Xenopus tropicalis: one gene and its partner. Each later gene encodes a partner of the first gene's protein in a complex. Links are inferred from orthologs where the notes say so. Each region holds a gene or a part of one and is shown in the gene's direction. Other genes may lie near its edges. The genes, in order: xrcc1 and aplf.

Region 1 (16,379 bases):
ATATAACCTGCCTAACTGCTAGTTGATCCAGAGGAAGGCAAAAACCCCATCTGAAGCCTCTCTAATTTGCCACAGAGGGGAAAAAATTCCTTCCTGACTCCAAGATGGCAATGGGACCAGTCCCTGGATCAAAAACAAAAAGACAAATCTGAGGCAAAAATATGGGGTTGTAACAAGTTGGACACTTATATGAAACTCGCCTCATCCCATTAAGCTGTAAGTGCAAACGAGAGCCTGTATTTCATATGCTTCTCAGACAGGTTTGTGATTCATTGGTTTCTCTCTTTGTTTATTCCAGTTGCCATTTACAAGTCCATGGCGGTGGCGTGACGCAGAACTCGGCATTGCTGGTCCCGGTGTCAGACGCAAGGCGCCTAGATCCTTCTTTACTGTCCTTTGAGCCAATATCAGAGGATAATGCCTGAGATCAAACTGAAGCACGTGGTTTCCTGTAGCAGCGCCGATACAGTAAGGATCCTTTGATTTACAAAAAGGGGTATATTTATCATGCTGTGTAAAAAGTGGAGTAAAACATCACCAGTGCTGTTGCTCATAGCAGCCAATCAGATGCTTTGCTTTGGTTATCTAACTGGTGAAATCTAATTGCTGATTGGTTGCGCAACATCACCAGTAATGCTCCACTCCACTTTTTACACAGCATGATAAATATACACCTAAATCGCTGTTTGACCCGCCCCCTCCCATACCACACACCATTAGTACTGCATATATCCCCTTTATCGCAAGCCCCATCACATTTTTCTGAAACAATGAGAAGCTTTTACCTGGTGCCCATTTTCCCTTTCACACATCAGCACGTGCACTGGAAAGTTCATGCAATGAAGAATGCAGGCTTACACAGGCAGAACTTTGATAAAAAGTCCTGCTTGGATTGTAATCCTTAAACTGAGCTCAGAAGAGGAGGTTGGGAGAAAAAAATAGGATCAGACAGCTAGAGCTGAGTTTCTGAACCAGCAATGCCATCTCTTTATTGGTTGCTAGACTGGAGGGTGGGTTGGTAACCTAACCTGAGAAGAACTGAGCATGCCCAGGAGCCAACAGTCTGTTCCTAAGGGAGGGGGAGGCAAGTGGGTTACAGGAGGAGAAGGAATACTATGTGATTAAGGGGATGCTGCAGCCTTACTATTAACCTTTGAACAACCAGAGTGACAGGTATTTAAATATTTCAAAAAGGCTATGGGGTTTACTTGTCCTTTAAGGCAATGCACATGGTGCAGGTGTCGTTCTTACATCGATATCCCTAAATTGCTCCCTCTATGCGGATTGTGAGGAGGTTTCTGTGTTGGTGCTTTCACACAACCCTTGTAGGAGCAATGAGGGATGAGTGCCAAGCATTCTGATGCTGTTTAGTTAGCAGGTAAATAACACACACACAGCTCATTGTTTGAACAGCCAGTGTAAACGCTCCCAGAATTCTGTTTGACAAATACACAATGGGAATGGTTTGGCAGTTAGAGACACCCTCACCTTTAACTGTCGACAAACTTTTGTGCTCCTCAGACACACACAGCAGAGAACCTGCTGAAAGCCGACACATACCGCAAATGGAAAGCCGCCCGCCCTGGGGAGAAGCAGATCTCCGTCATTTTGCAGGTATGGAATGTAGAGTGAGTGAGTGAGAGAAAGCTTTGTGAATTAGCAACTGAGCAGTAGCCATGCTTATCCTATGCTTCCCTAAGGGTATGGCTTGCTTCCTGTATTTCACTGAAAATGAGAATAAGGACATTATACTGGCCCTTTAATTAACTAGTTAATTTCTTTCAAGACTGTCAAGTGAAGGTAATTGAAAGGTTGGCGCAGTGCAATAGCTTCTACCAGCAGAGACACACCTTTCTGATTTGCTAGGTGAAATGCATGTGTATGGGATTATGGTGGGTTTGTTTCTAACCAGTGGTTTTGCCTAGTGGCTGCCCAGCGCAGACCCTTGGAAAGTTGCTAAGTGTGTTCCTTTGAGAGATAACTTGCTAATTACATGGTGGCTCTGTGGGTAGCACTTCTGCCTTGCAGTTCTGGGGTCTTCAGTTCAATCCCGACCAGGGCTCTCTCTGCAACGCATTTGTATGTTCTCACTGCATGGGTTTCATCTGGGTACGTCGGTTTCCTCCCACACTTTAAAAACATACAGGCACGTTAATTGGCTTCTGATTAAACTGACCATAGTGTGTGTGAATGTGATAGGGACCCTAGATTGTAAGATCTGGGGCAGGGACTGATGAATAATCTCTGTAAAAGCGCTGCGGAAATGTAGCTGCACTATATAAATAACAGCAATAAATGAAATAAAAAATAATTACTGCTCTAATTTCATGCCGTGTGTGCCTATACGTGCATGGGTACTGACCTCAGCTTACTCTGGTGCCTTTGATTTTCTGCAGTTTGAAAAGGAGGAGCAGGTCCACAGCATTGATATTGGCAATGAAGGTTCTGCGTTTGTGGAAGTGCTGGTCGGACACTCCACTTCAATCAGCGAGCAGGAATATGAGGTATGGCAGGTACCTATAGTGCCATATGCAGTGGTTGGGATGATTGTTTATTAAAGTAAAAAAGATTACCATTAATATGGAGGCAGAAAAAGCACAGGCTATAGCGAGAGCATCCTATGTCTGTAAAGCTCCCTAAACATTTAGCAAACGGAAATGGCATTTAAGTTGGTCGTGCTCCTTGAGGATGGGGGTGCTGCTGGTTAAGGAGAACTCTGGACACCATCAACTACCCAGGGCCAATCTCATACTTAGGGATAGTGTGGTAAATACAATACCGTGTCCTCAGCGCTTTGTGATTAATGATATAGAGTCAGTGAAGAAAGTGACGAAAACTCTGTGTGTTCCTGCTTAGGGATAGTTTGCTATAGCATTTTACTCTCCAGAGCTCACAGAATGTAAATGCAGATAGCAAGTTAGTACAGTTGTGAGGAATACAGACCTGATGTGCCAATTCCCATCTTGCTTGTCTCTGCATAGGTCCTCCTGGGAATGTCATCGTTCATGTCTCCTAGCGAGAGCAAGAATGAAAGCAACCTGAATCGGCTGCGAATGTTCGGACCAGACAAGCTCGTGAAAGGAGCAGCTGAAAAGAAATGGGATCGGGTGAAGATTGTGTGCACCCAACCCTACACTAAGGTGTGCAGTGTCTGCTTACAGAGCGGAGAGCTTTGTGGGATATATAATTAACAAACAGAATGTAGATACAATTAGTATTTGTTGTGATGTGTGGGTCGAGGTCAGGTAAGTTAGAGTTGAAATTTGGGCGACCGTTGTGGGTTCAGGTTGGGTGCGGATCAGGCATGAGAAGTACACTTTTCCTTTGCTGAAGTGTGGTAATTTCTGTGGAGTTTGTTGGCAAGCCTTTAGTATATAGCTGGATGCACGTTTTTCTATAAACCATTTCATGTTCTCTTGTCTCATTAGAACCTTGCTTATGGTATTTCATTCATACGTCTGAACTCCCCTCCAGAGGATGGCTCGCCCACCGCTCCCTCACCGGTATGCATTCTACCTGTGCTTGCTTGACTGATACATAAGCAAATACAAGGGGTTCTACATAAGGAACAATTCATTATCTGTGATATAGGGGACCATAAATATTTCTTTGCTCATGCCCTTTTTAATCCCGTCTTCATTTAATCACTTACCTAATAGCAAAGGTTACTAACATGTAAAACTTTATATCATTCATAGGTTGTAGTTCCAGTGATATCTAAGACTGCAAATCAGCACTTATCCCAGAACTTGTGGTTGGCCCAAGGCAACCACAGCCCTTTAGCAGGGAAGATCTGTGCCCCCAAAGATGCCCCAGTAGCCCCCCCCATATCTTCTTTTCTGCTGGTTCCCTGCACATTCAGCTCTGTCTCATCAGCTTACATGACAGGCTGACCTAATTTTGAACAGTGCCGGTTTAGGAAAGTTCACCTTGTGTTTATGCTGCCATGGATTATAAATCATTACTATGCTCTTCTGCAGAAAGTGACCAAACTTGGGCAGTTTATGGTAAAGGAAGAAGAGAACTCATCTCCTTCTATGCGTCCCGGGAGTCTGTTTTTCAGCCGCACCAGCAAGCCGCAGGTTACTCCTCCGAAAAGTAAGCTATTCTGCACATATCCCTTGTAATTCCCTCTATTAGTTATTTTCTGAAATGTGTGAGTGCCCCTGAAACTTGTACAGAAACTGTGTGCATTGCATTACCTACGCTATTAGGTACATTGCAGGTACAGTAACTCTTGAGTCATAGGGTTACTTTACTTCATGGCTTGTACTGCAACCATATGGCAAAACAGCTATAAAGGGGTTGTTTACCTTTTGAGTTAACTTTTACTATGATGTAGAGAGTGATATTCTGAGATATTTTGCAATTGGTCTTCATTTTTTATTATTTTCAGTTCAGGAGCTCTCCAGCCTGGAGTTTCAGTAGTTATTTGGTTGTTAGGGTCAGAGTTACCTTAGCAACCAGGGCGTGGTTTGAATGAGAAACTGATATATGAATAGGAAAGGGACTGAATAGAAAATAAAGTAACAATAACAATAATACTGTAGCCTAACAGAGCAATTGATTTCTGGCTGCCGGATCAGTGACCCCCTTTTCAAAACTCCATAGAGAAGGTGGCAAGTTATTCAAAACACATAAATAATGAAGGGCAATTGAAAAGTTGCTTAGAATTGACCATTCTATAACATACTAAGAGTTTTTAAATTCTCCCTCCAACACTATTCCCTTTATACTGCCACTTAGCTATTGTGTTCTTTTACAGCTCCACCAGCCACACAAAGCTATGCGTCTGCGACATTACAGGGCACAGGAGAGGCCAGCTCCAGCACTGAAAAACAGACTGTTAAAACCCCACCAAGTAATAACATCCCAAAGGTGAGTAAGTTGGGTGTGGGCATGGATACACCGACCGCCTCTGTCTCCTCTATCAGCATAGGGTATACCTATCATACCCATGTATGCGCTACAGATGTTCCAAATGTGGCAGCTTTATTGTCAGCTGTGTCCCAGAGATGTTACACCATGTCCCTTTGGGCACTAACCCATAACCCTTGCTGGCTACGTATAGGGGGATTGAGACTACAGAAAGTCTTCTAGAGCTTAAAAAGGAAGGTTGTGGTCAGACAGCAAGAAATAATGTATTTTTACTGAGGGTCAAGTTGGAAAGATGAGTTGGTAACGGCAGCATAGGAGCTTATGGACAAAAGTAAGAGGGGAAATATATTTGTCTCAATGTTTTCATTAAACAAATACAAAGAATTGGTCCCCTTTAACATCCAAAGACCAATGCCAGTGAAGTTCTAGTTTGTTCTGAGCAGTTGCTGTTCTCTCTAGGAACCGTCATCTGGTAAACGGAAGTTTGAGTTCAGTAAAGAACCCTCAAGCCACTCGGCAGTCAAGAAACACGAAGTCAATAAGTCCCCATCTTCCGCCAAAGAGAGCACATCACAGCCAGCACCCAAAAAGCCAAAAGGTAAAAAAAATTTTTTTTTTCCTTCACTTGGATGACACCTTGAGGCTGGGACACAGTAGCAGCGTACCTGTCACGTGATTTCTGTGAGCCTTGAGATTTAATTCCACGTCTGGGTATGTTGTAGTGTCATAATATTACATAGCATATCTGTGGCAGGGTTAATATATAGCAGGGATCCCCAACCTTTTATACCCGTGAGCCACATTTAATTGAAAAAAGTGTTGGGGAGCAACACATGAAAAAGGTTCCTGGGAGTGCAAATAAGAGCTATAATTGGCAGCTTAATAGCCCCTATGTGGACTGACAGCCTACAGAAGGCTCTGTTTGTCATTATACTTGGTTTTTATGCAACCAAAACCTGCCTCCTTACCAGGAATTCAAAAATAATCACATGCTTTGAGGCCACTGAGAGCAACATCCAAGGGGTTGGGGAGCAACATGTTACTCACGAGCCACTGGTTGGGGAACACTGATATATAGTATGTCTTTAGGGCCCATGGAGGGATTTTCACCTGCTTTTGTGAAGTGATCTATATGCTGAGCTAACTATGTAATATATTGTGTTCTTTCCTGCAGTTGAAACACAGACTGTCCCTCCTACAAAGAAGCCTTCTCCATCGGAGAAGCCTGCCCAGAAAAAGTCCTCACCGGCTCCTCAGCAAATGGAACTGGGTCGCATTCTGCAGGGCACAGTGTTTGTGCTAAGTGGCTTTCAGAATCCCTTCCGATCTGACCTCCGTGATAAAGCATTAGAGATGGGAGCCAAGTACAGGCCAGATTGGACCCCAGACAGTACTCATCTCATGTACGTACAGGGAGTATCTCCCTTGAATAAGAGGGAAAAAAGAGCTTGAAGTAGAACGTGCCATTTTCTTGGGAATGGTGCATGTCATACTTAGGAAAGGGCAAAATGTACTTAAAGCGGTTGTTCGCCTTTAAGTTATCTTATAACATGATGTAGAGAGTAATATGCTGAGACAATTTGCAATTGGTCTTCATTTTTTATTATTTGAAGATTTTTAGTTATTTCAATGTCACTTCAGGAGCTCTCCCGTGTGGAGTTTCAGCAGCTATTTGGTTGCTCAGGTCCAAGTTACCTTAGCAACCAGGGAGTGAGCTTAGAATTGACCATTCTATAACATACTAAAAGTTAACTTTAGAAAAGTATATTCCCCTAATCATGGGACGTTGTCGTTTAGCTGGTTAGATTTGGCACTACATATAAGGGGTGATGTAATAAAAGGAATTAAATATGCCCAGGTGCAGTAACCAATCAGCAGGTAGCATTTACTGGTCACCTGTTTAAAAGCAAGCATCTTATTGGTTGCTATGGATTACTGCACCTGGGCAAACTTAATGCCTTTTATTACATATTGGGGTTAGAGTTTTTTAATGCGCCAGACAGTAATTTTACTCACTTGAGTTTTTCTGTTTCCAGATGTGCTTTTGCAAATACCCCTAAATTCAGCCAGGTGAAATCAGCGGGGGGTATCATCGTGCGAAAGGAGTGGATCCTGGACTGCTACAAGAAAAAGCAACGGCTGCCGTACAAGCAGTAAGTGCATAGAGTTGGTTTGAAACTATTGTTTGCCTGGGAAAAAACTGTCTGGAAAAAGATAACTTACTTACAATGCTATAGCCAGCATAAAAAAGGACTTTACCTCTAATAAATATATACAGTGGCTTGCAAAAGTATTCAGCCCCCTTGAACTTTTCCACATTTTGTCACATTACAGCCACAAACATGAATCAATTTTATTGGAATTCCACGTGAAAGACCAATACAAAGTGGTGTACACGTGAGAAGTGGAACGAAAATCATACATGATTCCAAACATTTTTTACAAATAAATAACTGCAAAGTGGGGTGTGCGTAATTATTCAGCCCCCTGAGTCAATACTTTGTAGAACCACCTTTTGCTGCAATTACAGTTGCCAGGCTTTTAGGGTATGTCTCTACCAGCTTTGCACATCTACAGACTGAAATCCTTGCCCATTCTTCTTTGCAAAACAGCTCCAGCTCAGTCAGATTAGATGGACAGCGTTTGGGAACAGCAGTTTTCAGATCTTGCCACAGATTCTCGATTGGATTTAGATCTGGACTTTGACTGGGCCATTCTAACACATGGATATGTTTTGTTTTAAACCATTCCATTGTTGCCCTGGCTTTATGTTTAGGGTCGTTGTCCTGCTGGAAGGTGAACCTCCGCCCCAGTCTCAAGTCTTTTGCAGACTCCAAGAGGTTTTCTTCCAAGATTGCCCTGTATTTGGCTCCATCCATCTTCCCATCAACTCTGAGCAGCTTCCCTGTCCCTGCTGAAGAGAAGCCCCCCTAGAGCATGATGCTGCCCCCCCATATGTGACAGTGGGGATGGTGTGTTCAGAGTGATGTGCAGTGTTAGTTTTCCGCCACACATAGCATTTTGCATTTTGGCCAAAAAGTTCCATTTTGGTCTCATCTGACCAGAGCACCTTTTTCCACATGCTTGCTGTGTCCCCCACATGGCTTGTGGCAAACTGCAAACGGGACTTCTTATGGTTTTCTGTTAACAATGGCTTTCTTCTTGCCACTCTTCCATAAAGGCCAACTTTGTGGAGAAGTTCAAGGGGGCCGAATACTTTTGCAAGCCACTGTATGTATATGTATATATATATATATATATATATAATATATATAAACAAGGTTTATCCTGTAGCTCTGTAGGCTGCAGCAAGGGACTGTTGTGGGATTGTACTGTGTGTTATATTTTATTACATGCACTTAATGCAGTCATTTGGTCATTTGATGCAGATTGTTCTTGCGTGTACCAGAAAGCGACTCTTTTAAGTTCTGTCTGTTTGTTTAGGTACCTGTTGGGTTCAGCTGATTCCAGTAGTGATGAAGAGGATGATAGTGAGGAAGATGAACGCCCCAAAGCTCCACATAAGCCGGTAATTACATAGTATTGTAAATTAGGGGGTGGAGAAGACCCTGTTGCTCGGGGTAACTCTGTAGGATTTCTTTTGAGGACTCTGACACTGTATCTACTTGCCAATACTTTCGGTGAGATCAGAGACGAGGCCTTGGATGGCGTTTCCTCTCAGAAGGGGCCCTCTAGGGTCATAGACATTGTTTTCTGATATGGGGTAGAACACTCAGCAGCTAGCTTTACTGCTGAAGAGCAGTTAGAATATTTTTATTTTGTATTTGTAGACTCCAGATCCCAGCCGCACAAACCACAAAAGGCCTTCGCCGAGTCCATCCAAGGTCAAAGTCAAGAAAACTCCAATAAAAAGTGAAGACGAAGAAACAGAGGATGAAAATCCCAGAATAGTTTCCTCAAAAGCAAACAACACACCTAAACAGGAGGATGAATACAACGCAAGCACTGATGAGGAAGCCACAGGTATTGGGGGGCATTAGCATACGGTTAGGAAAGTTTAGGGGGCAGAATGCGGGAGGCTAAGGAAACGCAGAGGAAAGCTGAATTAGAAATAGAATTGTACTTTACTTTATTTCCTGCATGGATAAGGGGGAGCAGGATGAGGAAATGCAAGTAGCAGAGTAGAGATGGGCTGAAAATGAATAACCTTGACCATTGTTTTTCAAGGTAAGAGGCAACCCCATCTGGAGGATTCTGGGGAAGATACAGAAGAAGAGCTAAGGAGGTAGGTTCTTGTTGCTTGCATGTAGCTGACCTGGGCTACCCTTGGTTCCATGCTGTATTATAAATAGAAAATCCGCCCCCCCCCATCCCTCAGGTTCCATGAAGAGAAACAAGGCAAGAAGGCAGCTGCCATTAAGGCTGAACCCGAGGATCCATACGCCGGCTCTACTGATGAGAACACCGACGTGGAGGAGGAACCAGAGCCGGACCTTCCCATCCCCGAACTGCCCGGTATGTAAGAAATAGAACCCAGTCCTGCAACATTTGTATTGAAATCTATCTTGCCATTTGATCTTCCTTTCCTCCACTGCCTTTAATCTGTCTTCCATTCCTTTTCTCCCACCCATTCCTAGTATCTGGCTTCTTACCCCCCTCATTTCCTGCTATTGCTTCTCTGTTTCCCAGTCCAACCATTCATGCCATATCGGTTGTGCTGTAAGATTCCCCTGGCATTTGCTCTGCCCCAGTGTGTGCTTCTCTGTTCAGAGCTTGATGCCAGCTTTACCCGCACACAAAGCATAACAAGATTATAGATCCCATCTGCTGCCAGATATGCTTTATGTGACTGTGAAAGTGATTTCTCACACAGATCTGTTCCTGGGGAAGAAGTTCTTTCTCTATGGCGAGTTCCCTGCTGCTGAGCGCCGGATGCTGCACAGATACATCACTGCTTTCAATGGGTAAGCTGCGCATTTAGCAGCGCCATTATTGCTATTTAATTAGGTGCCGCTTGCATCTGCTGCTTCATCCCCCGCTAGAATGCCGGCTCTGCTGAGTGTGATTCGCTGATGTGAGCAGCGCTAGCTGGTTAAGAGCATTTTTGAGGCACAAACAAGGGGTAGAGTGGGATGGGTAGAAAGGGAATGCTTAATGAAAAACCTATTTGGAAGTCATTAAAATGGATTATACACATGTTCCTTATTAACCTAAATACTAATTACCAATATGTTTATTCTGTGAGTATGACTGCAAATTAACCCTTTTTAATAGCACAGTTCAAAGATGGCAGTCATGCCCCCATATGCACTCCCTGCACACACACACCTTCCATTGCCCTCCCACCCCCGTTACTCCCAAGCCTTTGTCAAAATTCTTCTAGGGACATATCTACCCCCATCTTGTTATTAAATCACACATCTTTCTTTGTCTCACTCTGTTGGTGTCGGTAGAGAGCTGGAGGAGTACATGAATGAAAAAGTCCAGTTTGTGATCACCGCCCAGGAATGGGATGACCGTTTTGAAGATGTAAGTATTTCATGTGATTTACATAGTTACATAGGGTTGAAAATAGACCAGAGTCTATCAAGTAAATCCAACACACACAAACCTATACTGACCTATCAATCCACTCACATACAGACCCATACTGACCTATCTATCCACTCACATACAGACCCACACTGACCTATCTATCCACTCACATACAGACCCACACTGACCTATCTATCCACTCACATACAGACCCATACTGACCTATCTATCCACTCACATACAGACCCATACTGACCTATCTATCCACTCACATACAGACCCATACTGACCTATCTATCCACTCACATACAGACCCACACTGACCTATCTATCCACTCACATACAGACCCACACTGACCTATCCACTCACATACAGACCCACACTGACCTATCTATCCACTCACATACAGACCCACACTGACCTATCTATCCACTCACATACAGACCCACACTGACCTATCCACTCACATACAGACCCATACTGACCTATCTATCCACTCACATACAGACCCACACTGACCTATCTATCCACTCACATACAGACCCACACTGACCTATCTATCCACTCACATACAGACCCATACTGACCTATCTATCCACTCACATACAGACCCATACTGACCTATCTATCCACTCACATACAGACCCATACTGACCTATCTATCCACTCACATACAGACCCACACTGACCTATCTATCCACTCACATACAGACCCACACTGACCTATCCACTCACATACAGACCCACACTGACCTATCTATCCACTCACATACAGACCCACACTGACCTATCCACTCACATACAGACCCACACTGACCTATCTATCCACTCACATACAGACCCACACTGACCTATCTATCCACTCACATACAGACCCACACTGACCTATCTATCCACACACATACAGACCCATACTGACCTATCTATCCACTCACATACAGACCCATACTGACCTATCCACTCACATACAGACCCACACTGACCTATCTATCCACTCACATACAGACCCATACTGACCTATCTATCCACTCACATACAGACCCATACTGACCTATCCACTCACATACAGACCCACACTGACCTATCCACTCACATACAGACCCACACTGACCTATCTATCCACTCACATACAGACCCACACTGACCCATACTGACCTATCTATCCACACACATACAGACCCATACTGACCTATCTATCCACTCACATACAGACCCACACTGACCTATCTATCCACTCACATACAGACCCATACTGACCTATCTATCCACTCACATACAGACCCATACTGACCTATCCACTCACATACAGACCCACACTGACCTATCCACTCACATACAGACCCACACTGACCTATCTATCCACTCACATACAGACCCACACTGACCTATCTATCAACCCACACTGACCTATCTATCCACTCACATACAGACCCACACTGACCTATCCACTCACATACAGACCCACACTGACCTATCTATCCACTCACATACAGACCCACACTGACCTATCCACTCACATACAGACCCATACTGACCTATCTATCCACTCACATACAGACCCATACTGACCTATCTATACACTCACATACAGACCCACACTGACCTATCTATCCACTCACATACAGACCCATACTGACCTATCTATCCACTCACATACAGACCCATACTGACCTATCCACTCACATACAGACCCACACTGACCTATCCACTCACATACAGACCCACACTGACCTATCTATCCACTCACATACAGACCCACACTGACCCATACTGACCTATCTATCCACACACATACAGACCCATACTGACCTATCTATCCACTCACATACAGACCCACACTGACCTATCTATCCACTCACATACAGACCCATACTGACCTATCTATCCACTCACATACAGACCCATACTGACCTATCCACTCACATACAGACCCACACTGACCTATCCACTCACATACAGACCCACACTGACCTATCTATCCACTCACATACAGACCCATACTGACCTATCTATACACTCACATACAGACCCACACTGACCTATCTATCCACTCACATACAGACCCATACTGACCTATCTATCCACTCACATACAGACCCACACTGACCTATCTATCCACTCACATACAGACCCACACTGACCTATCTATCCACTCACATACAGACCCACACTGACCTATCTATCCACTCACATACAGACCCATACTGACCTATCTATCCGCTCACATACAGACCCATACTGACCTATCTATACACTCACATACAGACCCACACTGACCTATCTATACACTCACATACAGACCCATACTGACCTATCTATCCACTCACATACAGACCCACACTGACCTATCTATACACTCACATACAGACCCACACTGACCTATCTATACACTCACATACAGACCCATACTGACCTATCTATCCACTCACATACAGACCCACACTGACCTATCTATCCACTCACATACAGACCCATACTGACCTATCTATCCACTCACATACAGACCCATACTGACCTATCTATCCACTCACATACAGACCCATACTGACCTATCTATCCACTCACATACAGACCCACACTGACCTATCTATCCACTCACATACAGACCCACACTGACCTATCCACTCACATACAGACCCACACTGACCGCACTAAGGCTTACATATTCACATAGTCATTGTTATTAACTGCCCCCTTTCACTGCCAGGCTCTTAATGAAAATGCAAACGTGTCTTTTGTCCGGCCTCGTTGGATCTACAACTGCAACGAGCGACAGAAGTGCATTCCCCACCAGCCGTATGTTGTGGTACCGCAGGAGTAAGAGCCAATGATAACCTGAGACAACATAAGAGGCAACCTGCCACATCAGACTGGGCATTTTCAGGATTTCCAAATAATGGGCTCACACCTGGCCTTCACCTGGGACTGGATCTGGTGCGATGTGCAGTGGCCCTGCTTGGTGTGTGTATATCAGACTGATATCAGACTATACAGTGTTGTATATTTTGTAAACAGACCGGTTTCTTAGATATTTGTGGATTTACTTTGGTCAAACAGTTTTTACAGATGTGTTACTGTCTGCTCTGTACAGCGCCGCTTTTACAGAAAAAAGGGCAAATGGCTTCAGCAACAAATTAGCCAGAAAAGACCACCCATTGTCATTGACAGAATAAATGCTGGCAAAATAAGTTTGCTACTTTATGGAACGGGGGAGTCTGTAGTAAGTTTAGTTGACTAAGTAGCTTGAAAAAGAGATTTTTTTTTTTCTTTTTTGCTGAACAAATGCTGGGGGAAAATGCATTATTTCCCCCGATAATTTCCCCCCCCAATGCCATACCATTATCACTACTTGGTGCTACTCTCATCATTTCTCACATTTGTTTGATTGGGGCTGTAGAGGTAAAGCTGGGTACTCTGATATGGGGTAGCCATGTTGGTTTAGTGGGGATCTCCTCCAGTCTCACAAGGTTACATTTTGCTCTTCAAAAAGTGCTGGCATTTATTCCGCATCTCTTCTCATTGTGGGCAGCGAGAATCGGCATTCGTTACACAGACTCGTGGGACTGATACCACAAGTAAGATGGCAGGCAGGTGTGCCATAGCCGCGCTGCAATGGGAAGCAGCTTGGGACAATTTCACAAGCTTTGGCGCCAAGCAATAACCTGTGCCATTACCATTAACGAGCCCCATCTCAAGACATCGGTTAAGTAGTTTGGATTCCTGACGTTTGGTTTCAGATTCAGCGCAAATGAATTTTTTTAAGTAAATAAATTAAAAAACCAAACTTTTGTGGGAAACAGAAATAAATATATGTTCTGTCTTTACCAACAAATGCGTGTATTGTATGATCCCCCTTCCCAGCTACTCCTGAGCTCAGTGAACACGTCGGCTGTGCTTTGTCTACACATTGACTTTTTGTTTTATTTTTGATCAGCCCTAAATACAATTTATCTGAGCTAGAAAATTGCATTGTGTGTGGGTGTGAATTCTCAGCGCTGCATGAGTAAGGTGTGAGATATTGTTGTGAATGTTATGTATTCGCTATTGTGTAATCTTCATTTTTACTCATTATCCTCTCTGCTTCACTGTAGAATGCTACTGTGGTATTGGTACCAGGGAAGGTTTGCTATCTCTTTGTACAGACCAGTGATCCCCAACCTTATTTACTCATAAGCATGAATAAACTTCCTTGGGGATACCAAATAAGGGCTGTGATTGGCTATTTGGCAGCCCCATGTGGCCTGCTTGCCTGCAACAGGGAGGTTCTGCTTGGAGTAAAACCGGCTTCCAACCTTCAATTCAAGCCAAAAATTAAATAATGACCACCTAGTTTGAAGCTGGTAGGAACAACATAAAAGGGGGTGATGAGCAACATGTTCCACGCAAGCCACTGGTTGGGGACACTGGTATAGACTATAAGCATCCTTAGGGCTTTTCCTGCAGCTACACCTCTCTTTTATGGTTTCTTGTACAGGTATGGGACCTGTTATCCAGAATGCTTGCATCCTGGGGTTTTCCGTAATTTGGATCTCCATAATTTAAGTCTGCTAAATATCATTTAAATATTGAATAAACCAAATAGGACTGTTCTGCCCCCAATAAGGGGTAATTATATCTTAGTTGGGATCAAGTACAGGTACTGTTTTATTATTACAGAGAAAAGGGAATCATTTAACCATGAAATAAACCCAATAGGGCTGTTCTGCCCCAATAAGGGGTAATTATATCTTAGTTGGGATCAAGTACAGGTACTGTTTTATTATTACAGAGAAAAGGGAATCATTTAAACATGAAATAAACCCAATAGGGCTGTTCTGCCCCCAATAAGGGGTAATTATATCTTAGTTGGGATCAAGTACAGGTACTGTTTTATTATTACAGAGAAAAGGGAATAATTTAACCATGAAATAAACCCAATAGGGCTGTTCTGCCCCCAATAAGGGGTAATTATATCTTAGTTGGGATCAAGTACAGGTACTGTTTTATTATTACAGAGAAAAGGGAATCATTTAACCATGAAATAAACCCAATAGGGCTGTTCTGCCCCCAATAAGGGGTAATTATATCAAATAGGAAGAGAAAGGACCAGTGAACAGTAGTGTTCTATCTATGACCGAGTCAGTTGCATCTCCACAAGCCAGGAAAAAAAACACAAAAAAGTACATTTCGGTCCATCACTATTTACATTTTATATATATTTGTATCTGCTGGCAATATAAATACTACCGAAGCAGTGCCTGCCCACATGCCACTGAAGAAGGAATATTAGATACAAGCGCTACCTTGCGTGGCCCTTCCATTAGGCATCTCTCTGATACTACTGAATGGCTGGGTCGGTTACATACAGATATAAAGATGGGAATGAAGGGGGTGCACCTGTGGAGCTTCCCAAATACTCGCACAGAAAGAGGGTCAGTGACCCCACCTTAGGGGGAGGGAGAAAGTTGGAATTTTGTCTTCTCAAAAATCACAAATCATCAATTTTTCTAAGGACAGGAACAGCAATCGCGGAAAAATTGTGATTACGTTTTCTACCAAGACTATTCTAGGTTTGTCAAGACGTCAAAAAAACCCAAAAACCTGTTGAGATGCCACAGAGTCTATATTTAGCATTCAAGTTGTTCATCAAGTTTATTAGCAATCATGCTTTATAGACTGTGACAAAACTTGCAAAATCGTTCATAAAAGTTTCAGTCGTGTCTTCTCTCAATTTTGTGCACTTTTCTCAAATTTTTTTAGCCGCGTTCCCACGTTTTCTTATGCGCCACTTTGATAGCCAAACAAAGCAAGAAAGAATAAATTTCGCCATCTACTGTTGGATCTTAAATTATAGACATTTTTAAGTCCACAGAACATTTAAAATAGTGCTGTATAAGGCTGTGACCTGCCTGAGGAATGGAGAATAGCTGGGCTTAAGGCTGATGCCAGACGTGGCGTTTTTACGCTGCGTATTTTCTCCGCCTAAAAACGCTGCACAAGCCACACAGCCCCTGACTATGGCGTT
Region 2 (16,379 bases), on another chromosome or scaffold:
GTGCAATGACGTTTATCTGGTTTGTATTAAGCAAATCATGGTGGCCCAAACATGTTATCTATAAATTGCCCAGGCTCAGAGCCAAGTATTGGCTGAACGGGAAACAGAGCAACAATATAAGAGATCTGTAGGTTGCAACACAGAATATAATTATGCATTATACCATATTATGGGATCCTTTGTTTTGAAATCTGTTATCCAGCAAGCTCCAAAATAACTTCCAGAAGGCCATCTATATTTATTTAAAGTTTAAATAAACCTGTTTTAGCCGGATAATAGATCCCATACCTGTATTACTGTATTATTACTATTCACCATATAACTCTAGAACTGATTTAAAAGCAGTCTGGTGCTGTTTAAGATTTGTGCTTTGAGTGGTGTGTACAGTCGCTAAAAGCTGTCTAATTGGATTTTATTTTTTCCCAAGAATATATTAATTCACTACAGTATGTGCCTATTAGTTTGTTCCATTCTGACTAATGGACTTATTAGCATGAAACCTATCAAGACTGAAGTGAAGGACTTTTCTTTGATGTGTAAATATATTTTTTTTACATTAGGCAATCGTAATAATTTTGTAATTGAGGCAGATGACTTATTATTCTATTTCCGTCTGTACATTTTATTCTCGTTACTCAGCTGCATAACAAACACTGGTAAATCAATCACCCCACAGCTCGGAGAGTATATTATTTTTGCTGAAGCATTGCACATACTGCATCATCCCTGATACAATCCCAACGGAAATGTGCCGATTGGACAGAGAATTCTTCCAGCGTGCTTTGTTTCAGCAAACCGCTCGACCGATTGCATTTTTTAAATGTAAATATTTTCTAATATGCATGGGGGTTATTCACTGTGATTATGGGTGTAAGAGCACTGAGTGCAAAAAGGATTGCAATGGCTGTGCTCTCCACCTGGCATTGGAGCAGAGTGCCGTGCTGTTGGACCCAGGGCTGTCCTTTACTTAACACTCACCAATGGCAGGTATAAAGTACAGGGCATTTTGCACTCACTGATGCTTCCTAATCTTGTGCATCTAAATGACATGCAAACTAGGGGGCTTGACAGGGAATGCCTACCTACCACACATACAGTATATATGGTAAAGCAAGTGATGCCAGTGGTGCATATTAGGGCCACTGCTTTTAGGCAGGGTTAGAACCATGCCTCAGGCAGCAGTTAGTAGCCATTTACCAGTGGCAGATTTAGCAGAAAGGTCTATGTAAATACGCCAATAAAGACTCCCACAGTAATGCTGCTCTGAGTCCTCTGTGAAAAAAACACTGTATTTCTTTCCTTCTATTCTGTACACATGAGCATCTGTGTCACACTTCTCAGGAAAAAACGTCAGTGTGTGGCATGAGCTTCCTCCTATCTCTCCCTCCCTTCTACCACCCCCCCACCCCCCTTTTTCTTCTTCCTCCCCCCCTCCCCTCAGCAGCAAGAGATACAGGCAGCAGGGAAGTGAAGCCAGACCAAGCTAAAATGGCAGCAGCTATCTTAAACAGAGGGAACTTCTAGTGCTGTTTACTTGTAAAGCATTCTGCAGAATAAATGTAGCTTTCTATTGTGACTAATCTATTGGCAATAAACTTTCTCAGTGTGATGTTTTGTAGTTCTGTTTCCCATAGTGTCATTTTTAAATGAATGACTGTTTATTTTCGATTATGTTACGCTTTCCCTGTATTATTAAGACTATACCTTTGTACCCCATGATAACTAAGCTAGCAATAATCCATGTTAAAGAAATAACAATCCTATTGGGTATTCTCTTGTTCAGATGCTTTTTAGTATTTTTCAGACATGTTGCTCCATATTACAGATGAACCGTATCCAAAAAGCCATGGTCCCGAACAATATGAATAATAGTTCCCATACCTTTTATTAAGGTCTAATTATATTTCTTTTCTTTTAGCATATTTGCATAACTATATATCAAGGGGCTATTTAATAAAAAAACTGCTAAAATATGCTAATAGAATTTCAGTTTATGGACAAGAAACCATATGAATCACCTCATTAGCAAAGTGTCATTCTGCAGACCTTGAGTAATGAATACTAATTTCCGAACAACACAGTTTTTTTAGAAATCTAATAAACTTACAGTGCAGTTACAGATCACTGAGCCTTTTGCTTAAAGGAGAATGAAAGTCAAGTATACAGTGTAGCAGCCTTTAGGCTCCACGCGACAAAATCTCCCTTGTCACGGGCGACTAATCTCCCCAAAGTGGCATCCCACCAGCTAGAATGTAAATCGCCGGTGGGATGGCATACGTGGCTCCAAAATCCCTGAGGTTTCCTCTCAAGGCAACTTCGCCCATTTGCCGCGACACATATGCCATCCCATCGGCGATTTACATTCTAGCCGGTGGGATGGCATTTCGGGGAGATTAATTGCCCACAACAAGGGAGATTTGTCGCGCGGCGACTAATCTCTCCGTCTGTCACAGCCCTAAAGAATCAGACGCGTGCTTCACTCAGCAGACACCCAAAATGATGTCAACCAGACTTAGGAAACTGTCAGTGCAATTGCATCTCATTTACAATGAAGTGCAAGCGGAATTTTGATGCAATGTTGCCCCCTTACAGAGGAAAAAGGAGTTCATATTTAAAATTCATTAAAATATTGTATAGATCATCAAATATTTTTTTTTACTAGAGAAAATGTTAATTTGGGGTTCATATCCCCTTTTTTTAATAACATAATGCATAAATGTTCATCATTTTACAACTCTGTAGGAAAAGTCTAACATTCTGTAAAAAGTATTAGAGACATAAGAATACTTATGTCTGTGCAGCCATTATACAAATCAATCAAGATTTAGGGGCAGATTTATCAAAACATGAGATCAGAGCTCGCCATGGAAAAATTCACCCACTTTTTCATTAATTTCTATGGGATTTTTAGAAGTGTAATTATCAAATGGTAAATCTGTGCATCAAATGGTATTATCAAATAAATCTGCCATTTAAGTGCATTTATACATCACAAGCATAAGGCCAAATCTCGGGCTTCCCTGCAATATTCTGGCTGAGCATCTCTGTGCACGATTTACGCTACACCCTTATTCTTTTGTCTGTTGCAGTTTTAGACTGCCCCCTTTGGTTGCAATGAATTAGGAGTTTCTTTTTTCATTAGTTATGGAATTCCTTATTTGGAAACCTGAAAGCTGCAAATAATGTGAAAGCCATTTCCGATAGAGTCAATATAAAGAAAATAATTCTAATTTTTAAATATGAATTACTTTTTCTTCTTGTAATAATAAAAACAGTACCTTATACTTTATCCTAAGTAAGTATCCTAAGTCCTTATTGGTGGCAGAACAACCCTATTGGGGCTGAGCATCTCTGTGCAAGATTTTCGCTACACCCTTATTCTTCTGTCTGTTGCAGTTTTAGACTGCCCCCTTTGGTTGCAATGAATTAGGAGTTTCTTTTTTCATTAGTTATGGAATTCCTTATTTGGAAACCTGAAAGCTACAAATAATGTGAAAGCCATTTCCGATAGAATCAATTTAAAGAAAATAATTCTAATTTTTAAATATGAATTACTTTTTTTCCTGTAATAATAAAACAGTACCTTATACTTTATCCTAAATAAGTATCCTAAGTCCTTATTGGTGGCAAAACAACCCTATTGGGTTTATTTGTCAGCATTTCGAGGTATTGGAGGTTTTGTGGTTTTATTTGATTTTGCCATATTCATTCAGCACTTTCAATATATAATTTAGTAATAATAACATTTTTATGGGTTTTTTTTTAAAATCTCTAACTTATTCTAAGTAGAAAAGATTGCACAAATACAATTTTGATAAATAACCCCCTTAGGGTATGGTTATCCAAAGTACAGAAAGATCTCTTATTCAGAAAACCCCAGGTCCCAAGAGTTCTGTTGTATGTTTATTTTGCCACATATGCAAAATATTTTGATATGATTATTAATGTAACTAATTTCCCTGATTTTAGTTTTTCCAGCCCCTTGAAAAACATAATATGGGATATATAATTGGGTTTGACAGTAGTACTTGCACCGGTGCAATCAATGTTCCCTTGCCTTACGGTGTCTATTTTTCTACTTTTTAAGCTAACGTACAAGCTTAATATGGCTACAATACTATATTTGGTAAACCCTAACCGTAGGCGTGCAAGTCTGAATGATTTCAGAGCGAGAAACGCTATATTGTGTTAACTGAGCTGTGTTGGATTGTGTTAGTGATTGCAATCTTGTATTTAACCTTGTTTCTTATGGTATGAATGGGATTAGATTGTTTGTACATACTTGCTCATTGACATAATGCTGTTGAGTTCAAACCTTTATACAAATAGAATGTATTTGTTACCCACTAAAGAACGTCATTTACTAATCTGGAGATTTTATATAAAATTGGTTTAGAAAATTATAAATATGCTTGCTTTCTACTTATCTTTTTTTCCTTGCTGATTTAAGCACAAAGCAGAGATTGTAAAATGCATGTCCGTAATATTTATAATGCAGTATTCATGCACCCTTGGAAGGACCCTCGTAATAAGTGTGACCCTAACATGTTAAATATCTTTGGCACTGCAACAATCCACTTAAGTCATTCCCCTCCATGATAAGTTATTTTTGCGGCGCAACAGACCATAAAGCATCTAAGTGCACAATCAATTTTGATTTAATAAAAAACCTCGAAAGAATGTTTTTATAAATCTGGACACAGTCTGTGCTCTATTAGTCCAAATATGTGCTTAGAAAAATCGATGGGCAATGTGCACTGGCTATATTCTCTTCATTGAAGCATGCACGCGTGATCCTATATCCTTATTGTCTACGATTAAGGGATCATTGTGAAAAATACTCTAATGAAAATAGGGCTTCTAATTCTTATTAACAACGATTTCCCCGGTGCAGCTGTTTCACTGATGGGACCCGTTGAATGGATTTTCAGCCAACTTGCTGACCTAGCAGTAATGACAAGGAGGAAAAAGTGCAAACCAGATTAGTTTTTTTTAATTAAATAGGTATCATATTGAATAACTATGGTTTCTGAAAAGCCACCGGGGGTTATGAAGTAATGTTCGGAACCCCTATCCACCATCTAACTATTATAGACCAGTAAAAGTTACAGATTGGATGCTACAGGACCAGGACAGACTGCATAAACCCCTAGAAAGGTTTACTAACCATACTCTCATTTGTTACAGCATTTAAAGAAACAGTAACACCAATGAATGAAAATATATTAAAGAAATTAAACTATAATGTACTGCTGCCCTGCACTGGTAAATGTTGTGTGGTGGCTTCAGAAACACTACTAGAATTTATATAAATACCCTGCTGTGTAGCCATGGGGGCAGCCATTTAAAAGGCGAAAAGGCACAGGTTATATAGCAGCTAACAGATTAAAACGTGTAGAATACAATGGTGTATTATGTGCTATCTGCTATGTAACCTGTGCCCTTTCTCCTTTTCTCCAGCATGAATGGCTGCCCCCTGGCTACACAGCAGGGTATTTATATAAACTATAGTAGGGTTCCTGAAGCAAACACACCAGTTGTACCAGCTCAGGGCAACAATAATTTTTTGGCGTTCCTTTAATGTACTTAGCATTATATATGGTCCTCTCCCAGTGAAGTCTTCTATAAAGCACAGAAAATGTTGCTTGATAAAGACCCTTTTGATTGGGCTTCAAAAGTGCTTATACAGGATGTAACGGAAGCGCATGAAAACAAAAATGGTGTATTACATTTTAAATGAAAGAGTGCAACACACAATAAATATAAAGTGCAATGTTCTAATAAACTCCTCCACCAGTGTGGTTTAATAAGTGTGTACACTCACCAGTCTCAGGGAAGCAAATGCCAAACCAATCAATAGCTTTGTTGCCAAGGTCTGCTGATCAGCCTTGGGCCAAAAATTATAATAGCCATCATTGCACACCATCAGAAGAGGAGAGCATCAATACACCAATGGGAAAATCAAACCTGCCCCTCTGATTTCTGCATGATTTTGCTGCCACTCATGCAGGGCCATCAGGGTGCCCCATACAAGGGCCTATAAGCTGCTAACTTGGTCCTTCCGGCCCATGTGCATCTATGGCCATTTTTACTTGATTATTTAAAGCTTTCCAAAGAATATGTGTAACGACCACCATTGAAAGCAGTTTCTTCACTGGCAGAGAAAATGGCAATTCTGCCCATGCTTGTAGTCAATAACATGAATGGCATCCATCTTTCACTGAAAACATGGGGTGGATTAAAGGATGTGTACTTCATATATCCCTTCAGTTTGCCAGCGCCATTACATGTTACTAAAAAAATAGCAGCTTTTACCTGGTGGCCATTTTCCCTCTGACACATCATCAGTGATGTTTACATCTACAAACAGCACAAATGTGCTGTAATGTTAATGCAATGAAGAATGCAGGCTTACACAGGCAGAACATATGGAGATATACATTTTTGCTTGGATTGAGCACTGTAATGGTTAAAGGAGAAGGAAAGGCTAAGTCACTTGGGGGTGCCAAATGTTAGGCACCCCCAAGTGACTTAAATCGCTTACCTTGTACCCTGGGCTGGTGCCCCTGTTATGAGAAAACAGCCCCAGCCCGGGGTACCTGTAGGAAGCGCTTCCTCCTTCCTTTTTCTTCTGCCGGTGAAATCCGTGGGCCGGCGCATGCGCAGTAGAGTGAAAAGCCGACTTTCTTGTTTAAGTTCGGCTTTTCACTCTACTGCGCATGCACGCGCGGCGCTACAGGAAGTAGGAAGCACTCGCTGCTACCCCGGGCTGGTGCTGTTCTCTCCGTACAGGGGAACCAGCCCAGGGTAAAAGGTAGGCGATCTAAGTCACTTGGAGGGTGCCTAACATTTTGGCACCCCCAAGTGGCTTAGCCTTTCCTTCTCCTTTAAGCTGAGACCAGGAGAGGTGGTTAGGAGAGAAAACATATTTATTAAGCAGAGTGCACAGCTAGTTTTCATGGAAACCAGTAATGCCATAAAGAACTGAGCATGATCAGTAGCCAACAGCCAAACACATTCCCAAGGGAGGGGCTGAGTGGGTTAGAGGAGGAGAAGGAATCACAAAGTGATAAAGGGGATGCTGCAGCCTTACTATTAACCTTTGACCAACAGGAGTGGCAGGTATTTAAAGATTTCAGAGAGGCTGTTAACTGATTTTTTGTGGGCGGATTTACATGCCCTTTAAGGCCCAAAAATGCGCACACAAGCTTTTTCAGGCTGAAATCCACTCCATATATATACAATGTCAGATGGGGTTCTTTGGTCACTGACTGCAGGCACAAGTAGTATCAGCATTGATGTTTTCCGTATTGATGTTTTCTCACCTAAAGACATTAGCCTTCCATCTTCCTTTGTGTATTAGCATCACCAAGTGTAAAACAGAGTTATCTGCTTTGTGGTCACTTGTTTCCTTCTTTTTAAATTACTTTCACTGTAGACCTTCTCTAGATGCATCAACATTCATAGACCCTGGGGCAGTTGGTTTTCACGCGTTCATTGTCCTATTAAAAAAAAAAGTACATTTTGTATTCTACATATCGGCAGGTATAAACCATTTATTTCTTGATCTTTTCCGTGCTTTTTATATTAACATGCAAATCTACATATTGAGACCAAAAAAGTTTGGTTATTTGAATTTTATTTCATGTTACATTCTTGGAATAGATCATTGTGTAATAAAGTAGAATACCTGCTGTTCCTAATTAAATGGCCGCTTCTCTCGGGAACAAATTAATTATTTCTAGCTATGGGAAATGTTACATAGTTACAGTTTTACAGCCTAATAATTGCACAAAAGAAACCCACTATGCAGTGTAAAAATGAATTGCCTTTAACTTTAGAGTCTGTATTGAGGAAGTGATTGATGTTCAAACTTTCAACTAATAGAGGAATTGACCTGCAGAGTTTGTTGTTATGGAAAACAAGCTCTTGTTGATTGTGATTGATGAAAACTCCTAGTACTTCCAGCTGATAGAACAATAGATTCAGAGATTGCATTCATGAAGGAACTCTTCACAGAGAGCTTACAGGTGATCAAACCCATTATGATTTCAGTATGTAATCTTTACCATTCCTGTAGCGTGGGAGTGAAATGTTCTGCTTATAAATGAACTAAGAGATAGCAGTTTCAGCAACAAGCTAGTAAAATACAATAGGGCTCATGTACGTCCACAAGTCCAGTTGCGGTCCAGGTAATTTCCCCGCAGTCAGCTGTGCGTAAAAAAAGGTACTTGCATTAAAATGTGCTCTCTCTATAGTTGCACTCAGCGGCGCTCAGTCTGTCCTGTTTTCCATTCTGAAATGGGTGTTGCTGCACCTATTAATGCATGGAAACCCTGAAGCTACTGCCACCTCCAAACCAAGTGATAGCTCCAGGGTTCCTGTAGCACCCTGCAATTATGCATCGCTGCAGTTAAGCTGAAATTTTGGGGAAAAATATATGTAAGATAAAATGTTGCCTTCTGATTTTTCTTTTTTGGTAAGTAAACCCAGGTGCTAACTGTGGGTAGTATTTAAGGCCTAGATAAAAAATATAAAGCAAAGCAGTTCCCTAGGTTAATGTTTCTTAAACTGTGAATTCTGATGGAATGCACTGATCATTGTACCTTCCAACACACTGGAGCACAGTCCTAAACAGATATATTTTGAGGTGGCCATACACAGGGCGATTTAAGATGCCAGTTTATCAGCCCATGTTTGGGGCCCTCAGACAGGTCTGTCTGACCGATATCTTGGTGAAAATTGGGCAGATGTCGATTGGGCAGGTTTAAAAATCTCATCAGGGTGAAGAGTGAGGCTTATTAATGTGGTCCTGGTTCCGATGGCCTGCATCATGTCAATGTGATCTGATCGGATCAATCCGATATTGCCCACTTCAAGGTTGGCATATAGGGTTGATAAAGTTGATCTTTCAGTATATGGCCAGGGTTAGATCCTATATAGATTAAAAGTAGTGTACAATACCAGCACAATAGAATTGTTTTTTGGGATTCTTTTTTTACCCTCCATCCTATTTATGTGTTGTTCATAATTACATATAACATATTTCAAACTTTTTTATATCATAGTTATATTTTTCTTTTTATTACGTGTAACTTTAATGTGAATGATTGTAGATTTAGGCTGCTGTAGTCCTTCCAGTGATGCAGATTGCTGTGATCAGTCTGGAAAAGCTGTCAAACAGTGACTATAACTGTACTGTATTTGGAAAGCCTAAAATTGTAAAGCAAAAGTTTATACCCTAGGAGACGTTTCTTCAGTTTCAATGGATTCTTTGTGCTTTTCATTTCGTTATGTGGAATGCAAAAAAATGACAGGTTTCAACTGCAAAAAAAGATGTCCCCCCTGCTGAAACACTTGCTGTTCTTTGATCTCCTTTTCTGTAATAACAAAAATGCAATTTTTCTTTTTTTGTAGGTGCATGTGAATCCCTGTTTTTATCAAGGTCCTGGTGGAAACACATTTATTCCTTTGGAAAAAGACAAATGGCATTGGTTACACTCTGGGGACTGTTTTTCTCTTTTGCCAGATAAATATACATTCAAAGTCATTGCTGACACTTCTACAGAGGAGAGTACTGAAAGGTAAAGTAACATATTTCAAGTGATATATAAATATATATATATATATGTTGCTATTTTTTATACATAGATTCCTAGCAGAGGAAGGATCATATGAATGAAGATCTGCTGCAAAGGGAGGGGTTGTGGGGTAGGGTATGTAAACAGTACAGAAAGGGGTATGCACCCCCTTGTTCACCTTGAGTTCAATGAATAGTTTTTATGCTGAACATACTTTTTGCCTATTGTTATAATCACAAAAAATCTGTTTTTTTGTTATTTCTTGAGCTAAACAGGGAAATTAAAGCTACTCTGTGTTTGGCCCTTGAGTGGTAATAATTAGAATACCAGTACACAGGTAATCCCCTAGCTAACAAAACAGTCACAGCAAAGAGGGAAGCTAGGGATAGTATTCTGGTAATTTAAACTACCTCACAAGGACCAAACATGCAGTAGCTTCAATTTCCCTCAAGAAAACAAAAACCATAGATTTGCTAGAAATAGGGCATTCTATAACATACTAAAAGTTTATTAAAATGTGAACCACCCCTTTAAAAAATAAGTATGCTTTAACTGTGACTTGTACAGGTATGGGACCTGTTATCTGGAAAGCCGTTATCCAGAAAGTTCAGAATTACGGAAAGGCCATCTCCTATTATAAAAAAATAATTTTGCTTTTTAAAAATGATTTCCTTTTTCTTTGTAATAATAAAACAGAACATTGTACTTGACCCCAACTAAAATATCATTAATCCCTACTGGGGCAAAACAATCCTATTGGGTTTAATAATATTTAAATGATTTTGGACTTAAAGTTTGGCGATCCAAATTACGGAAAGACCCCTAATCCGGAAAACCCCAGGTCCCGAGCATTCTGGATAATGGGTCCCATACCTGTACTGGTAATAAGTAATAGGCGTCTGTCTGTGTATGTATTTCAGTAGCTGTCTGGCTACTAGGGATTTACCCTAGCAAACCAGGCAGTGGTTTGAATGAGAGGTCGGAAAATGAGTAGAAGAAGGCCTGAATAAAAATATAAACAAAAAAAGTTACAATAACAATAAAATTGTAGCTTAACAACAGGGTAATAGTTTTTAGCTGCTGGGGTCAATTACACCCATTTGAAAGCTAGAAAGAGGCAGATGAGGAAGGCAAATATTTCAAAAACTATAATAAATAGTAATAACACATTGCAAAGTTGCTAGGAATAGGGAATTCTATAATACACTAGAAGGTAACTCAAACGTGAACCACCCCTTTATGGAATAAGTACACATTTTTATTTTAGAATGCCTAAAATGACTCTAAACAGCCTCTAAAATGACACACCTCCCTACTTAGAGTCCGATGTCCGATCTAGTGGGAAGTTCCGACAGCTCCTTGACCTATTCAAAGTAGAAGGAAGGCTCAGCATACTAAAGGGGAACAGAGATTCACCCTATAAAAGGAAAGTGACTGATTTCTGCAGCATGTTTCAGTTTCTATCTTAGAAACTCAATGTAGGGAGAGACTTTCGGGGTCATTTAGAGTTTTTTAGGGATTTTAAAAGGTTTACTTTTTCTTTAATGATCTAAGGGCTGTTCAGATATATTTTGAAATGTAGTTATATTTATTTAATATTTTGAATGAATACAGAACCCTATAAACCTGTGAACTGTTGGTTCAGCCAGTTTTGCTGATATTAGCCATTGTTATTCTTGTTTAGTTGGGGCTTAATTTTTTGCATTTCAAAAAACAAAAGTTAATCAAAAAACTTTTTCACGTGTGAAAGTCAAACTGACTTCTAACTGTATAACTTTAATGTTAAAAACCAACATCACATTTAAAAAAAAGTTTTTTTTACAATAATTAAATAGCCCCTTATTACCTTGATTTTATGGGAATATATAATTCCAGCTTGCTACCATGATAGTATACTTTTATCATTTTAGAAAATTTTGGTTGAAAGTGCGTGATTCAGTGCACTTCGTCTTAAATTATTTTTCCAGAACACCAGGCTTGTCGATTGATGATGTGTCTGCTTTGGCGTTACTGTTGTCTAAACTAACGTGCTATTACTTTTGGGTCATGAGTTTCAAGGCTGTTGTGACAGAGCTAATTTGGCTTGACAGCACTCTGATGGCAGGTGATGGTTCTGTCAATGTCTTTTAAATTTGCTTTTGCTGTTCACAAATGAGTCATGAATTATAGTCTCAACCTTCACCTGCAGCCTGATTGTTATTTGTCTTTCTACTAAAGCTATATTTTTCCAGGCCCCACAAGGATGGCTGTAAGCAAGTTGCTGGATAATAATTGGTGTTCATAGAAATGCATGATTTTTTTTTTAATATTTTTTCTAATAAATTGAACTACCTAATAGTCTTATAGGATAATTATGGTTTGAACATTCCCTGTTGCAGTGACCCTGGTGATAAGAGATGAATGGGAAACAGGATTTAAGAAAAATAGCTAATAGGAGAAGCACAGTTTTTCTAGATTTTACAAGGCTTTATAAAGGGCAGCAGAAAATAATATAATTCTGTTCTGTGGTTTTCACTGTTTTATAAACAAACCCTTCTATATCCATGTTGAGTAAAACTCATAGAAAGTAAAGAATCAACTCTGATTATTTAGGAGGCATTTGTGTAAAGCTCCTTTTGATTGCTTAAATAACTTATGTGACTTGATGGAATTAAAGTGGAAAAGTGCATTTTCTCCTTATGCCTGTGGCTGGAGTTAATGGACTAATGGCCGTATCCTTTCCCACTTAGATTACTGCAATCTCCTACTAGCCCTTGTAACTCTATCCTTGAATCCCTCCGTAGGGAATACTCACTCTCTTAAAGATAAAAGTCAGATGCTACCTTCTGGAGCACTAAAACATTATTTTGTCTAGTCCTGCGCTTAAGGGCAAATGCACATACCTGGTACAATTTGTCTCCTGTATGTTACCCAACCATTTAGATTGTAAGCTCTACGGGGCAGGGACCTCCTTCCTACTGTGTCTCATACCACATGGCACTTAACCTCTCCGTATTTATACTTATTTATTGTATTTATTGTATTTTATCTTTCTTCTATCCATGGAAATAAATCCTGGCATAAATTACACGTTATTTTAATTATTTATTATAATAATATATAGTAATATACATTATAATATTAATTTTATGTTATCATGCACGCACAACTAAATATGAATGTGTTTGTCAGGTGGCAAAACAGCCAATATACTGCACTCACATATCTTTTAAAAATGTACCGTAATAAAAACTTCCCTTCTTGTGAAGGCCTTCAAATGGCTCTGAAACATTAAATGAATAAGCAGGTAAAGGTAAAATTTTGATTTATTAAAGGATAATTAAACCTTAAATAAGCAATGTAAAACTACTTAGGGTGGTTTTCTAAGCACATTTGCAATTTATATTAATTATTTTTTCTGTTTTAGAGCTGTTTAAGTTTTTATTAACTGCCAATATAATGAATTTTGTAACAACAGCACCACTTTTTTTCCAATTTTCCATTACATTTTTGGTGTTTACTTATCCTTTTAAGACCTGACAGTTCAATATATTGTCCGCTTTCCTCTATGCCTATGTTACCTACATGCAGGTACTGCTGTCTGTTCTTGGTATGCACACATAGTAAAATAGTACATAGTACATGGATGTGTGTGTATCTATATATCTATAAACCTATTCTTATACTTTACAGAAATGTTCATATCACCAACAAGACGAGTGAAATAGCTGATAATCCCAGCTGCTCTTTGGATACTACTAAAACAAGAGATGAGGAACCTTCTTGCTCAGCCTGGGGTGCTAAGAAACCTTACCCAAATCCTGCTTCAGATGCTCAAGGTGAGAAGACCAAATCCCTGCTAAACAGTCAGGTAAGTCACTATGAATTTATTTCATAAAGGATATTACCTGTATATTTAAATTTGTATTCAGGATGTGCTGGTTATTGAATGGACTTCTTTTAAATACAGTCCAGAGTGTAATTGTGTACAAGAAGTAATTTTACCTGTACCTGACTGACACCCATAGGCGGATGGGGATTTTTTTGTTTGGGGAGGCTAAAAATGTTGGGTATCTATATGCAATGACAGTTACCCCACTCATACAGAAAAGCATTTTTTACATGCGTTTTCCTGTGCTGGATCTTGCATGTGTTTCATCCCAGGGGAACACAAAAAGAAACGCATGCCTGTATTTTCTATTTACTGTGACTGTAGTCACTGTGGCACAGGCAAGCGTGGAATGCAGGTGTAATGTGCTCTGTTAGGGGCTTACCTGCACCACAAAGAGTACAGCCTAATACGTAAATAGGCCTGCATTTCTTCTTGTGCTGAGACACATGAAAGATCCAGCACATGGAAACGCAGGGAAAAAACACTGTAAGAGCCAAGAACAATTTTTAAAAAATGTTGTCACACACATACGTTGACAACTTTAAAATACTGAAGTAAAAATGCAGTTTGGAGCAGTTAGGGTAACAGAAAAAAAGCATTCATTTTTTGGTAGCATTGGTCCTTTACAGTTGAAATTTTTTTTTTTAACTGTGTTCAGTTCCATAACGCTGTCTCTCTAAGAACACTTAATATGAGTTCATATTTCTAGCACCCCAAATCCTTTATCACTCCGTATCATTTCCTAAAAAGATTAATCATAAATAAAACTATTCATCTTCAAACAGGGGTGTTTCTGGGGTCTATGCTGCCCTGAGGCAGCCTTTCAGATGCTGCCTCCCTCGCAGAGGTATGAAGAGGGGGCCACATTGCTAGTACAGAGTCGAAAATGCGATTTGAAATCTGAATTTCAGCTCTTAAAGCTACCAGGAGCAGCTTTTTGCCGCCCATAGTAATTTGCAGGCTTATGGCAGCGGCGCCCGTCTTCAGAATATCCAGCTATTGCTGATCTGCAACTGCTTTCAGTCTTTTACTGCCATTGGCATTGGTCTGATATCTAGTGGACTCTCATAGTTAATATCACAAGCATTAGGAATGTGTATCAATTGACTTCTTATTGCCAGTGGAAAGAAACTGATTTTTCCTGTGATAGTTACTTTCAGCTGCCATGGACAGCTCAGTTCCACTAACTGTGGCAGGGACAATCAACCATAATTAAGGCAGGTAATTTCATAGCTGTTATTATAAATCATTAGAGGATTGGTGGGGAAAGGTAAATGTAGCCACTAAAAAAGTAAAAACGGCTCTCAAGCTGCCCGCGCAGCTTGCTGGCCGGGACATGGGTATGTAGGTTAAGTGACTTGTCCAAGGTCACAAGGTGCACCTAGGGTGGAATTGAACCCGAGTCCCAGTGAGTCACCCCACTGAAGGCCGATTCCCTAACCACTAGGCTATCTGAGTCCTCCCACTTGTAGGAGGATCTTTTTGGTCTGTTGTCTTAGATATGGTGTGTGAAGGAAACATTCAGGGTTAAAGCCAGCTGCTTGCACCAAGACCTGTATGAGTAGGGGGACTGTTAATTAAGTAGAGAGAATTAATCTGGAAACTGTGCTGCACTATTCATAACATAAAAATAGGCACAACATCTATTTGAAAAGTGTTTGACCTGAAAGCAGGTGCTTGTATGGCTATTCAAGCTGGACCCAATAAAGCCCTATGTGGGTTTTATGAGAGACTTTCCATAGAAGGCTGGCCGGCCACTTATATCATGTATGTTTCTGCTTTTTAAATGTGTATATTGACAGACAGATATTGGTAGATAGTTTAGAAGCAGGATGAGCAAACAGGAACAGAGCTGCCAATCAGTGGGAAGTGCCAGAACACAAGAGACTTTTATCAGGGCTGCCATCAGAAACTTTGGGTCCCCATACAAGTTAATTATATGGGTCCCCCCATGAACACAAGGATGGCACTGGGCAGTGAGTGACACATGGGTAATGGCATATGGGTGAAAAGCCTGTTATGACCGGCATTACATGAGGGATATATGGGGATAGGAGAGAGGTTAATAAATAAAAATAATGAAGAAGGCAGTAACTGACACATAGTGGTTGGATGAGAGTGACATATAGGGAGAGGAGGTGGCACATAAAACACATGAAAGATCCAGCACAGGGAAACGCAGGGAAAAACACTTGTCTGTAAGAGCCATGAACACATTTTTTTTAAGCTTTTGTCACACACATACGTTGACAACTTTAAAATTCTGACGTAAAAATGCAGTTTGGAGCAGAAAAAAAACATTCATGTTTTGGTGGCATTGGTCCTTTACAGCTGAAATTTTTTTTTAACTCTATTCAGTTCCATAACGCTGTCTCTCTAAGAACACTTAATATGAGATTAATTCTAAACCAACAGCTGCCTTACAATCAACTCCCAGCATTTATTTTGAAGTTCTACAGATTGTCTCTTGCATTTTTCTGTCAACTCCCAGCCAGTCCAGCCATTATCAGCTTAATATCTCCAGTTCCAAAACTTAAGCCCCTACAATAACCAATTCCAGCTCAACATTTCTCCCTTAACTTTAGTTCATATTTCTAGCACCCCAATCCTTTATCACTCCCTATCATTTCCTAGAAAGAGTAATCTAGATAGCCCCAAAAGAATCAGTTTCCACCTCAGACTTAACTTGGGTGTACTTCTAATTTTTATGAGCTGAACATTAGATCTATTACAGCTATGTAAAACTTTGCCAGCACTCCTACAGTTCCGATATAGTACAAGACTATAAAAATAAATGATATATAAAGGAATATACGTGTGCTTATCTTACTAATACGGTAAAGCAGCACCTTCTCTAGCTCTCTGCATTGCTTTCCCTCAGTAATTTTAGCTCCGTGTAGCTACTCCCTCTGCTGGGCGGGCTAATG

The links.
Region 2: the proteins of xrcc1 (region 1) and aplf are in contact, whole or in part, in a crystal structure (PDB 5W7X), measured with the Homo sapiens proteins. The link is inferred for Xenopus tropicalis from reciprocal best matches to the Homo sapiens genes XRCC1 and APLF. Residues at the interface, in NP_006288.2 of Homo sapiens: Pro514, Tyr515, Ala516, Gly517, Ser518, Thr519, Asp520; in NP_775816.1 of Homo sapiens: Arg27, Gly28, Pro29, Gly32, Ile33, Thr34, Lys36, Arg37, Val38, Ser39, Arg40, Arg41, His58, Asn60.

The regions. Positions count from the first base shown.
Region 1 is NC_030683.2:118,933,029-118,949,407, forward strand, and holds the end of xrcc1 (DNA repair protein XRCC1), read left to right. Parts: intron 1-113; exon of another isoform or gene 114-216; intron 217-298; 5' UTR 299-417; coding exon 418-468; intron 469-1,521; coding exon 1,522-1,614; intron 1,615-2,396; coding exon 2,397-2,504; intron 2,505-2,981; coding exon 2,982-3,140; intron 3,141-3,428; coding exon 3,429-3,503; intron 3,504-3,980; coding exon 3,981-4,098; intron 4,099-4,765; coding exon 4,766-4,878; intron 4,879-5,337; coding exon 5,338-5,476; intron 5,477-6,052; coding exon 6,053-6,281; intron 6,282-6,914; coding exon 6,915-7,031; intron 7,032-8,322; coding exon 8,323-8,407; intron 8,408-8,669; coding exon 8,670-8,862; intron 8,863-9,066; coding exon 9,067-9,124; intron 9,125-9,217; coding exon 9,218-9,354; intron 9,355-9,712; coding exon 9,713-9,803; intron 9,804-10,292; coding exon 10,293-10,368; intron 10,369-13,082; coding exon 13,083-13,196; 3' UTR 13,197-14,342; downstream 14,343-16,379. UniProt on the Homo sapiens protein: Scaffold protein involved in DNA single-strand break repair by mediating the assembly of DNA break repair protein complexes. Negatively regulates ADP-ribosyltransferase activity of PARP1 during base-excision repair in order to prevent excessive PARP1 activity.
Region 2 is NC_030681.2:30,354,354-30,370,732, reverse strand, and holds part of aplf (aprataxin and PNK-like factor), read left to right. Parts: intron 1-9,417; coding exon 9,418-9,584; intron 9,585-13,253; coding exon 13,254-13,431; intron 13,432-16,379. UniProt on the Homo sapiens protein: Histone chaperone involved in single-strand and double-strand DNA break repair.